Linked DNA regions of Pelodiscus sinensis. The protein of the gene in region 2 binds, or shares a complex with, the protein of the main gene of each other region. Links are inferred from orthologs where the notes say so. Each region holds a gene or a part of one and is shown on either strand. Other genes may lie near its edges.

Region 1 (3,750 bases), on a different chromosome or scaffold from region 2:
TAGTCTCCTTTTTATAAATGGACTGATCCAAGCGATTCAAGTGGAAAGTGAATAAAGCGTAAATCCAAATGCGAATGGCTCCATTTCAGTAATAGCGTGAATAAACCCCCACAGAAGGCTTCATTGCTAGCAGCAAACTCCAGAGTCCAGATGAAACAGCAGGAAGAACACAGGGCAGATAATCCTGTAAAATTACCCCAGTGGAAATGTTGATAAATTCCCAATTACGAGACCTGCTCTAGGATGAAAAAAATGCAAGATACAATAAAATTACCAATCAACACTTGCAAACCTACACACATAAACCAGACAATTACCACCGGTATTCCTACATTCTTTGATTTTTTTTTTATCTGATACTCAACTCAGTGAAATTCAAATAAATAAAATAACCTCCTGAAACTAAACAAAGGAAGAACTGAACAACCATTACTGGTTATAAATCAATTGCCTTCCTAGAGTGTCATATTCAAGCAATTCTTGTCTCTACATTACTAATATATTTTAGATCAAAAGAACTTGAGCCATTTTTCTGCCCCCCCCCCCCCCCATATTAAGATTGGATGGGACAATGAAGCCAGTTTCACAAGAATTTTTTTTTTAATTTACAGACATTATTGATCAGATTATGTAAAATCTTACCTCTAAAAATCTCAATTTTGAGCCAAATACAGGAATTGGCATGTAACAGGTTTGCTAACCTCACTAGTGGGAAACACAGCAACTTAAAATTCTTCACATTTGAAAGCATGTAGTGTAGCGAAAAATAGATCTAGCATCTAGTTCACAACTGCTTACTTCCTACATGTTTGTCTCAGAGTCTGACAAATACAATAGCAATCATTCTCCAAACCGTCAATTACAAAAGTAATTGCCTGCTCATGAGCTTAGTAACCCTATCAATTGGATATTATTATAATTTCCATGATTAACGACATACACACATTTTTTCATATAACAACACTGCATAAACTTGTCTTTGGAGTATGTTTCCCAGTTCCCCATTGTTTACGCCCTACATGTGTGTATCCCAGTGTCTCATTGGCCCAACCACTTATCTGCATGTCACCACAAGTCCTGCCCTCCCCAGTCATTTCATTGGACAGCAGGATTGACAATCACCCTCTAACACTCTTCCTTTCTACTTCAGATAGATCTAAGCAGTTGCTGCTGTGGCCTCCTTATTGCCAGCTAGGCCTCAGTTTTCAGACTATCAGCAGCAAATGAAAGGGGAGGCTTCTCTCGGAGCAGAAAACAGATTTTGTTTACAAACCAATTTTGCTTGTTCACAAAATAAGACTTACAAAAAGAAATACATCAGCTTTAAATGAATTCAAGTCTCTCAATGCAGAGGGGTAGGCTGATGGAAAATTGTGGTCTGAATGTAGATGGTCAATTATCATACTGATGTCATTTCCTTCTGTCTTCATGTTTAATTATTTTAAACTCAATTACACAGGAAAAACGCTTTTAAACTTCCAAATGCCATTATACTAATTTCAAGTCCATTGTCACTGCCTCTTAATTGCTTTCTCAATGCGTGTAAGCCTTTGAAACGAGAATAAACCTACTTCCTCTGAAAGAAGCCCCCACCTTTCCTCTCACTGCAAAACCACCCTAATATAATTACTTTCTAAATGCCAATAAATATGGGGTACAATAAGCTATTGAGGGAAGGAGGCCCTTTGCCTCTGGGCTCTCTTATTCTGTGGATAAGCTTCCAGTCTAATTCCTCTTGAAAAGAAGCCCCATTTCATTCAAGAGTTTCTCATATCACCCACCCACTCAAGCCCCCTTCCTTCAGCGCCTCCCTGCCCCAGCTTCCAGCAATAATGCTTCTCCACCGTTTCTTCCCCTCCACAATGACATCCCCTCTCCTCCCTCAGGCCTGCTGCGAGAAATACCCCTTCCCAGCCTCAACTCCCCACCCCCTGGAGTATTAATCCAGCCCCCTGTTCCTCAGAGCAAAATCACTCGTCGCTTCCCCCCCCCCCCCACAAAGCCCCCACAGAGCTTTTTCCAAGGGATTAACCCCCCCCCCCCCAACTCAAATCAATACTACTTCTCAGGCCCCGGAGCAATACTCCCATTCACCCCACCACAGACCAAGAGGTCTCCCTCCCCCACAGCAATAATCCCCCCCAAATTCCCTAGCAATCTGCCCCCACCCAACCGCACCTTGGAACCAATACACCATTCTCTGCCCCCCACCCAGGGCACTTCTACCCCTTTGGCCCCCAACACAGGGGCGCCCGTGTGCCCCCCCCCAGTAATACTTCTTCCCCCCATAGCGGTGATACCCGCCCCCTCAAAGCAGCAGTACTCCCCTCCCCCAATCACCCCCCCCCCCCTCGGAGTAATAATACTCGCTCTTTCCACACACACCCCGCCCCGCAGGAATACGCCGCGAGACTCCTCCAACAAGAACCACCCCGCAGGGTAAAGCCCGGGGGTCCGCGCTCCTGCCCGTACCTGTGGCTGCAGCATCCCCGTCCCCCCGCCGCCCTCTCTCCGCTGCCTGCCTGGCTCTTTGTTTCCTGCCGCGGGCCGGACGGGAGAGCAGCTTCCCCCCCGCCTCCTCCCCCTTCTCCTCACACGCATTGAAAGCAAACAAGCATCATGGCGGCAGCGGGCAGGCCGCCCCCCCCCGCCCCAGCACCCCGCCCCTCCGCAGCGCCGCGCGCTGGGGCCGCCCACACTCACCGCACGCCGCGCGCGGCGTCTCTGCGGCCTGGCCGGGCCGCGCTCGGAGCGTCCCCACAGCCCAACGGACCGCGCGGGGGGGGAGGGCCTCGGGGATCTGGGGGGTCCGGGGGCCCTGGGGGGTCCGGAGGGGGGATGGCTGCGGGGGGGTCCGGAGGGGGATGGCCTCGGGGATCTGTGGGGTCCGGAGGTGAGATGGCTGCGGGGGGGGGGTCCGGAGGGGAGGTGGCTGCGGGGGGGTCCAGAGGGACCTGGGGGATCCGGAGGGGGATGGCCTAGGGGATCTGTGGGGTACAGAGGAGGGTGGCTGCGGGGGGGGGGGGTCTGGGGAACTTGGGGGGTCCGGAGGGGGAGGGCCTCGGGGATCTGTGGGGTCCGGAGGGGAGGTGGCTGCGGGGGGGTCCAGAGGGACCTGGGGGATCCGGAGGGGGATGGCCTAGGGGATCTGTGGGGTACAGAGGAGGGTGGCTGCGGGGGGGGGGTCTGGGGGACTTGGGGGGTCCGGAGGGGGAGGGCCTCGGGGATCTGTGGGGTCCGGAGGTGAGATGGCTGCGGGGGGGTCCAGAGGGACCTGGGGGGTCCGGAGGGGGATGGCCTAGGGGATCTGTGGGGTACAGAGGAGGGTGGCTGTGGGGAGGGGTCCGGGGGACCTGGGGGGTCCGGAGGGGGATGGCCTCGGGTTTCCGGAGGGGTATGGCCCGTGAGGTTTGGGGGAGCCCGTAGGGTTGCGGGGGGGGGGGTGGCTGCGGAGGTCCCTTGGTGTTCTGGAGGCGGGTAGCCCGTGGGGTTTGGGAGGAGGGTGGCCGCGAGGGGCCCATGAGGTTCCGGGGGGCCGCGGGGGTTTCAGAGGGGGTAGCTGCGGGGGGCTCGTGGGGTCCCAGGGCATGTTTGGAGGAGCATATTGGTGAGATCTGAGTAGCAGTGTAGTGCATGCAGTGGGACAGGGGACAGCATTGGTCAATGTGTATGGTTGAAAACAAGCTTGGACATAGCGTGTGGGGTTTGTAGGAGTGTTTTGGAGTAGGTAAAAAAAAGGTGCGGGATCAC
Region 2 (3,750 bases):
GTTCTATATACTATAGGGCTGTCTACACATTAGCAAGATTTTGCGCAAAAGCAACTGCTTTTGCGCAAAGACTTGTAGCCTGTCTACACTGGCCGTGAGTTCTTGCGCAAGAACACTGACGTTCCAATGTAAGGAATCAGTGCTTCTTGTGCAAGAACTATGACACTCCCGCTCAGGAATAAGCCCTCTTGCACAAGAGGCCAGTGTAGACAGGCAACATGAATTACTTGCGCAAGAAAGCCCAATGGCTAAAATGGCCATCGGAGCTTTCTTGCGCAAGAGACCATCTACATTGGCACGGATGCTTTTGCGCAAAAGCACATCTCTTACACAAAAGCACATGCCAGTGTAGATGCTCTCTTGCGCAAATACTTTAACGCAAAAATTCTTGCGTTAAAAGTATTTGCGCAAAATCTTGCCAATGTAGACGTAGCCTAGCTGTGGTGTCCAACACGCTAAGCACCAGACACACGTGGCTATTTGGCCAGTTGATTGTGGCTAGTTGGCTTGAATAACATGCCTTGTTTGCTATAGCATTTTCAGAATAACGTGGCTAGTTTGCTCTGCTTCAGAACTGTTTGGACAGCACGGTGCTACAGGCTACATGCAATATTCATATTCCAATTTATTCAGTTTTATAATTACTGAAAAATTGCTGGCTTCTGCATGTAATAATGTGTTATGGCAGTTCTATATTTTTATAAGCAAGTATTTAAGCAAGGTAAAACCTACAGGTTCCCAAGACATGTTAGACTCCAGGAAGAGGTACAGTATAGGGATGTTAAATATTCGTTAATTGAATAGTCGATTAACTTTATGAATTCTTATTAGTTAATTGACTATTTTATAGTCCCCAGGCAGCCCCTTTCCGGGGGGGGGGGGGGGGGAGGGGGGAAGGAGGGAGGGTCTGAACTCCGGGACCCAGCATGAGCCAGAACTGAACTGAACTGACTGCCTGCCTGCACTTTCAATGCAGAGCTGCAGCAGGGGTAGGACCAGGACCCAGTGCAAGCCAAGACTGAACTGGGCTGCTGGCCAGCCTGCTAACAAAATTGACTAGCAAAGGGTGGGGGAGGAGGGGAAATCATGTAGTCTATAGCATTAACCTATAAGCTTTTGATTATTGGTTAATCAACTACACTATTACATCCCGGTTGCATCTAGACTGGCAAGTGTTTCCGCAAAAGCAGCTACTTTTGCAGAAAAACTTGCCAGCTGTCTACACTGGCCGCTTGAATTTCCGCAAGAACACTGACGATCTCATGTAAGATTGTCAGTGTTCCTGCAGAAATACTATGCTGCTCCCGTTCGAAGAGGGCCAGTGTAGACAACACGGTATTGTTCTGCGCAAAAAAGCCCCGATGGCGAAAATGGCGATCGGGGCTTTCTTGCGCAAAACCACATCTAGAGTGGCACGGACGTTTTTCCACAAAAAGTGCTTTTGCGGAAAAGCGCCCGTGCCAATCTAGACACTCTTTTCCGCAAATGCTTTTAACGGAAAAACTTTTCTGTTAAAAGCATTTGCGGAAAATCGTGCCAGTCTAGACGTAGCCTCCCCCCCTAGTACAGGAGTCTGGAAAGCCTGGGAGTCACTAGGATACCTACAAGCAGCCATATGGGAAGCCATCCAAGTGGAGTCGTCAGGGGCCCTGGCCAGGAGCAGGGCTCGGGGCGAGCACCTACCGCAGCAGCCCTGCTCCCGGACGCTGCCACAGGCAGGACACCCCAGAGCCCGGCACCCAGGGGCGCTGCCCATCCCCCCGCGCCCGCAGCCCAGCGGGGGCTCGACCCCAAGAGCCGCGAGCCAGGCTCGGGGGCCTCCCTCGCGGAACCCCGGCCAGGGGCTGAGGGGGCCTCACCCGCCGCCCACAAGGGAGGCGCCAAAGCCGGGAACGCGCGTCACGCCCCCGAGCAGCCCCCACCCAGCCAAGGGAAGGGGCTGCCCGCCCTACTTCGCCTCCCCCCCCCCCCGCGGAAGGACACAAGACTAGACGTCCCACTCCCCGTGGCAAAGCCGCGGCTGCGTACATCCCTGCGCTCGTCGGGCGCACAGGCCTGCAGCGCGGCTCGGGCGGTATCCCTGCGCGGGGAGGAGCGAGTCCCGGGACAAAGGGAGCCAGAGCCCGGGGTCAGCGCGGCGCTTCGCCTACTCACCGCCCGCCTTGTCCGCCGCCATGGCCGCTCCGCGCGCGCAAGCTGCCCGAGCGGCGAGTGAGTGAGCCCCGCCCCCTTCGGGGAGCCTAGCCCCGCCGGCCCCGCCCCTTCCGCCCGAGGCCCCGCCCGCCGGCAGCGGGAGCCGCTTCGGCCGACCTGGCCCCCGCCGGGCTGATCTCCGGCCCGCGGGCCGGTCACAGACTGAGCTGCTGGTCTCACCTAGTGCTGACGTAGCAAGCCAGGCCCGCGCCCCGGCGTCCCCGTGCACGTGCCTTTGCTGCGGGGGATAAAGGGCCCTTCCCCCGGGCCCGGTGTGTTGGCTCCAGTCGCAGGCTCCCAGCCCGGAGCTGCGCCCGCCGTGGTGTTGGCTTGCACCAAGCACCCTCTGCCGTCCGGTTCGTGCTCGCAGGAGCCCTTCCCAATCATTGCCTCGCCTGCTCTGTGGCCGGTCTGACTGTGTATTGCTGAACTGAAAAAACAACAGATGGTCTGGTAGCACTTTCTAGACTAACACAACATGTGGATGGTACCATGAGCTTTCGTGGACGTGTGTTTTGTTAGTCTAGAAAGTGCTACCAGACTATTCGTTGCTTTTTCCGTTTTCCTGTACAGACGAACTCGGCTATCCCCTGAAGCTTTTGACTGTGTATTGGGAAGGGGCTCCTCGCCAAGGTGTTTACTGGGGATGTGCAGATTTAACAGGTGAGGCTTAACCCCTCATACGTTTCAGAGCAATCCTGCACCTGGTGCATCATTGAATAGTACTAGCTGTGTAGCCATGTTAGTCTGGTCTAGCTGAAACAAAAACCAGGACTATGTAGCACTGTAAAGACTAACAAGATGGTCATCATTGTTCCTCTTACAACTGCATCTATAGATAACCTGTCCAGTCTGGAGGTGGAAGGATGTCTTTCTGAAAAATCTGAGCTAAGTCATAATATTAAGTAGGAAAACAGTTTCTGTAGCTGTTAACTGCTGATGGGGTACAAAAGAGCCTCCTGGATTTTACTGGTATTGTTGAGAAATATACTCAGACTTCAGCAAGAAGTTCAAGTTAAAAGCCACATTGTTACACCGCAATCTCCAAAAAGTGGGCACTGTGGCACAATTAATATTTTATCTGTTAATAAATTTCTGTAATAGGAATCACTTACTTTTGGGGCACTTATGTATGGTCACATCGGGATTATCTCTTTCAGGTCATATCCTCCCCCTTCAGAAGGTTGCTCACACAGTGTGTCTACACAGCAGGGCTAAAGTAGAGTTAAGCTACACAACTTCAGCTATGCCAATTGCGTAACTTATGTCAAAATAGCTTACCTCAGCTTTTTGCACTGTCTACACAACAGGAAGTTAAAGGAAGAACACTCTCCCTTTGACTTCTTTTACTCCGTGTGAAATGAGGGTTGCCAGGAGTCAGAGTAACAAGTCCTCCAGCTTGACGTTATTTTGTAATAAAGGCTTGTAGTGTAGATGCGGACTATGTTATTTCGAAATAATTATGCTATGGAGATGTAACCACAGTGTCTCTTCTGCTCCAGGACTCAGCCCTTTGAGTAATTTTATCCTTCTGGGGTATCAGAGTCCCACTGGATC
Region 3 (3,750 bases), on a different chromosome or scaffold from region 2:
TAGATGATCATAATGGTCCCTTCTGACCTTAAAGTCTATGAGTCTATGATACCACTGAAAAATTTAGAATGGAGGTCTGGACTCCTTTGGAAACATACTATCTGTACATTCAGGTGAATTCTGTTCAGTCAGTTTTCAGCTTAAGCCTTTTGCATACCCCTTAGACATAGTCTGCTGACCCCCAAAGGTCCCTCGACCTCTAGAAACACTGCTCTAGTTGACTATGTTCCACTGGTAGTTTAAAGGTGATACTAATTCCTTCTAATGGGATGTTCTGGGAAACTGGATGTGTGACAGAATCCTCTTTTCTAGTATGAAAGATACCTGGGACCTATAAAGCCATACAGATTAACTAGCAAAGGTACCATCCTACTAACATTCATGCACATGATTAACTTTATGCACACATTAAAAAAGGAATTATTCATACATGCTAAGTTAAGCACATTCTTGAGTGACTGCATGATCATTAGTCAATTATATATGCCAATATTTGTTACAAAAAAAATGTTCTTCAGTTCAGATCTACATATTCTCTCCTGACTGCCAATCTCTTTTATCTAGGCCCTCTATATCATATCTTCACTACTGAGGTCTATTCTTCTGCAGACTAGACTACTGCAACTTTATCAAGTCAATTCAAAATGCTGCCAAAGTTTTCATACCTCACCACTTCAATTATATCATACACCCATTTGTTGGAACACCAATTTCCCCCCTTATAGCATCAAATATGCACTCCTTTAGACTGATCGTAAGGGTGGTTTATAATTTAACCCATGCCTACTTACCAAAACCACTATCTTATAGCACCCACTCTGCCACTCCTTACTTCATTAGTCAACATCTTTCACAAACACCTCTGTGCTTTTTTCCATGACCTTCTCACAAATTCCCCCTGTAAATTTAAAAAGTGACTAACTTAGCCTCCACCAAATCACTCCTGAAGATTCAATTTTCAGGAAGATGTCTGCAGAACAGTGTCTACAGAGTCCACACCTCCATTCAAATTTTTTCAGGGGGCTCAAAAAAGGAAGAAACCCACTGTGTTAGTTTTCAGGCTCAAAATTTAAATGTTGTAAATAGTATGTTTTGGAAATAGAATGCTCCACAATCTAATATGAATGGAAATATTTTAACAAAATATGCCGAGTTTTCTGTGTAAAGGGATATAATTAGTTTTTCAAAAAAGTAAAAATAGCTTGGGTACTACACGGATTCTGAATTCTCCTGACAGTTTTTGTGCTTGATAGCCAGCTAAGCAAGCTCATCTATGGCTACACAGTGCTGCAACTGTACCAGTGCATCCCATCTAGTGAAGACTCTATGGGTGCATCTAGACTGGCAAGACTTTGTGCAAAAACTTGCCAGCTGTCTACACTGGCCACTTGAATTTGCGCAAGAACACTGACGATCTAATGTAAGAATTCAATGCTTCCTGCGCAAATACTTTGATGCTCCCGCTCAGGGATAAGCCCTCTTGCGCAAGAATACTTGCGCAAGAGGGTCAGTGTAGACAGGCACCTTAATTTTTTGCGCAAGAAAGCCTGATGGCTAAAATGGAGCTTTCTTGTGCAAAAGCGCGTCTATACTGGGCACGGATGCTTTTGCGCAAAAGCCTCCGTGCCAATCTAGACGCTCTTTTGTGGAAATACTTTTAACGGGAAAACTTTTCCGTTAAAAGCATTTCCGCAAAATCATGCCAGTCTAGACGCAGCCTATGTGTCAACAGGAGCTCAGCATGACAAAACCACCTCTGGGGCAGCAGTAACAGCTATATCAGGGGGGGATAAGTTCTCAAATGGACACAGTGCAGCGTTTATGCGGATGTGAGGTAATGTCACACAGGGAGAGGGTTTTTTTCCCCCCCCACACTCCTGGATAACTGAAGTAATGCTGACATAGGCTATGTTTACACTGCAGCCTAACTGACCCTGGTCCTTCATTGCTACCTCGTCCTCCCACCTGCTTAGCTGAGCTACCCTCCTGCGTTGTCACTGCCTCAGTAGTAAACTCTGCAGGGCAGGACCTGCCTTGGTTTACTCCGTGTGGCTCGCTGACAGGGTTGCTACCATTTCCCCACGCTCAGGAGCCCTGTTCGCCTCAGGATCCCCCCTGGGAGGCTGCAGGGCCAGGCAAGAACAAACTTCCAGGCAAAGCGTCCGGAGCCCCCCGGGCAGGCGCTGAAGCGGTGACAGCTGGCGGGCTGCGCTGGGGAAAGTCCCATTTCTCAGGGGGGGCGGGGAGGGCAGAGCCGGGGGGCAAAGTGGCTGCGGCTCAGGCCAGGACACAGGCCAGTGGGGCGGCTGCGGGAAGTTCCCCGGCCCCTGTGGGAAGCGCCAGGCCCGGAGCGGGGCTCAGCCCAGCGCGCGGCCGGGCCGGGGCCTTGGGCCGGGGCCACGTGTTTACACAAGAGGCGCCCAGCTCGCGCGCGCCGCCCCCCAGCGCCGCGCGGGGGGCCCAGGCCGGGGCCGGGCTCGCGCACACGCCAACGGCCGCCCCGCCGCGAGCCCCGTCCCCCGCGGGCAGGCCCGGGCCTGGGAGCGCGCCCCGGCAGCCGGGCCCGCCTAGGCCGCGCTCGCCCCCCCTCCCCCCGGCCCCGCTCACCTGCATCCAGCGCGCGGGGGCGGCGGGGCTGGGCGGCGGCGCGGAGGGCGGCCAAGACATGCAGGCAGCGGCCCGCCGGGCCGGGAGGGGGCCGGGGCGGGGCCGGGCGCGGGGGGCCGCAGGCGCCTGCTGCCGGATAAATATTGGGATTACTCCGGGGGGAGGCGGCGAGAGCGGCGGGGCGGGGCGCGGGGCCCTGTCTCCGCCTCCTCCCGCCGCCCGGCCCGGCCCTGCCCCCTGCGCGCAGCGCCCTGGCCTGGATGGGCCTGCGGGGGCGGGAGTGTGTGTGTGTGTGTGTGCGTGTGTGTGCGCGCTGGGGTATCACCGTGTGTGTGTGTGTGTGTGTGTGTGTGTGTGTGTGTGTTGGGGTATCACTGTGTGTGTGTGTGTGTGTGTGTGTGTGTGTGTGTGTGTGTGTGTTGGGGTATCACTGTGTGTGTGTGTGTGTGTGTGTGTGTGTGTGTGTGTGCGCGCGCGCTGGGGTATCACCGTGTGTGTGTGTGTGTGTGTGTGTGTGTGTTGGGGTATCACTGTGTGTGTGTGTGTGTGTGTGTTGGGGTATCACTGTGTGTGTGTGTGTGTGTGTGTGTGCGCGCGCTGGGGTATCACCGTGTGTGTGTGTGTGTGTGTGTGTGTGTGTTGGGGTATCACTGTGTGTGTGTGTGTGTGTGCGTGTGTGTGCGCGCTGGGGTATCACCGTGTGTGTGTGTGTGTGTGTGTGTGTGCTGGGGTATCACTGTGTGTGTGTGTGTGTGTGTGTGTGTGTGTGTGTGCTGGGGTATCACTGTGTGTGTGTGTGTGTGTGTGTGTGCTGGGGTATCACCCCGTGTGTGTGTGTGTTGGGGTATCACTGTGTGTGTGTGTGTGTGTGTGTGTGTGTGTTGGGGTATCACCGTGTGTGTGTGTGTGTGTGTGTTGGGGTATCACCGTGTGTGCGTGTGCGTGCAGGGGTATCACCCCGTGTGTGTGTGTGTGTGTGTGCGCGTGTGCATGCTGGGGTATCACCCCGTGTGTGTGTGTGTGTGTGTGTGTGTGCTGGGGTATCACCCCGTGTGTGTGTGTGCGCGCGCGCGCTGGGGTATTACACCCTGTGTGTGAGTGTGTGTGCGTGTGCTGGCGTATCACACCGTGTGTGTGTGTGTG

Evidence for each region.
Region 1: CNOT10 (region 2) and CNOT6 share a complex: the UniProt entries of both Homo sapiens proteins name them as parts of the CCR4-NOT complex. The link is inferred for Pelodiscus sinensis from reciprocal best matches to the Homo sapiens genes CNOT10 and CNOT6.
Region 3: CNOT10 (region 2) and CNOT6L share a complex: the UniProt entries of both Homo sapiens proteins name them as parts of the CCR4-NOT complex. The link is inferred for Pelodiscus sinensis from reciprocal best matches to the Homo sapiens genes CNOT10 and CNOT6L.

Annotation. Positions count from the first base shown.
Region 1 is NC_134727.1:33,391,693-33,395,442, reverse strand, and holds the start of CNOT6 (CCR4-NOT transcription complex subunit 6), read right to left. Parts: upstream 2,626-3,750; 5' UTR 2,473-2,625; intron 239-2,472; exon of another isoform or gene 1-238. UniProt on the Homo sapiens protein: Poly(A) nuclease with 3'-5' RNase activity.
Region 2 is NC_134712.1:183,643,172-183,646,921, forward strand, and holds the start of CNOT10 (CCR4-NOT transcription complex subunit 10), read right to left. Parts: upstream 2,293-3,750; 5' UTR 2,177-2,292; coding exon 2,155-2,176; exon of another isoform or gene 2,006-2,154; intron 1,631-2,005; exon of another isoform or gene 1,628-1,630; coding exon of another isoform or gene 1,606-1,627; intron 1-1,605. UniProt on the Homo sapiens protein: Component of the CCR4-NOT complex which is one of the major cellular mRNA deadenylases and is linked to various cellular processes including bulk mRNA degradation, miRNA-mediated repression, translational repression during translational initiation and general transcription regulation.
Region 3 is NC_134715.1:8,811,971-8,815,720, forward strand, and holds the start of CNOT6L (CCR4-NOT transcription complex subunit 6-like), read right to left. Parts: upstream 2,773-3,750; 5' UTR 2,608-2,772; intron 1,430-2,607; exon of another isoform or gene 792-1,429; intron 1-791. UniProt on the Homo sapiens protein: Has 3'-5' poly(A) exoribonuclease activity for synthetic poly(A) RNA substrate.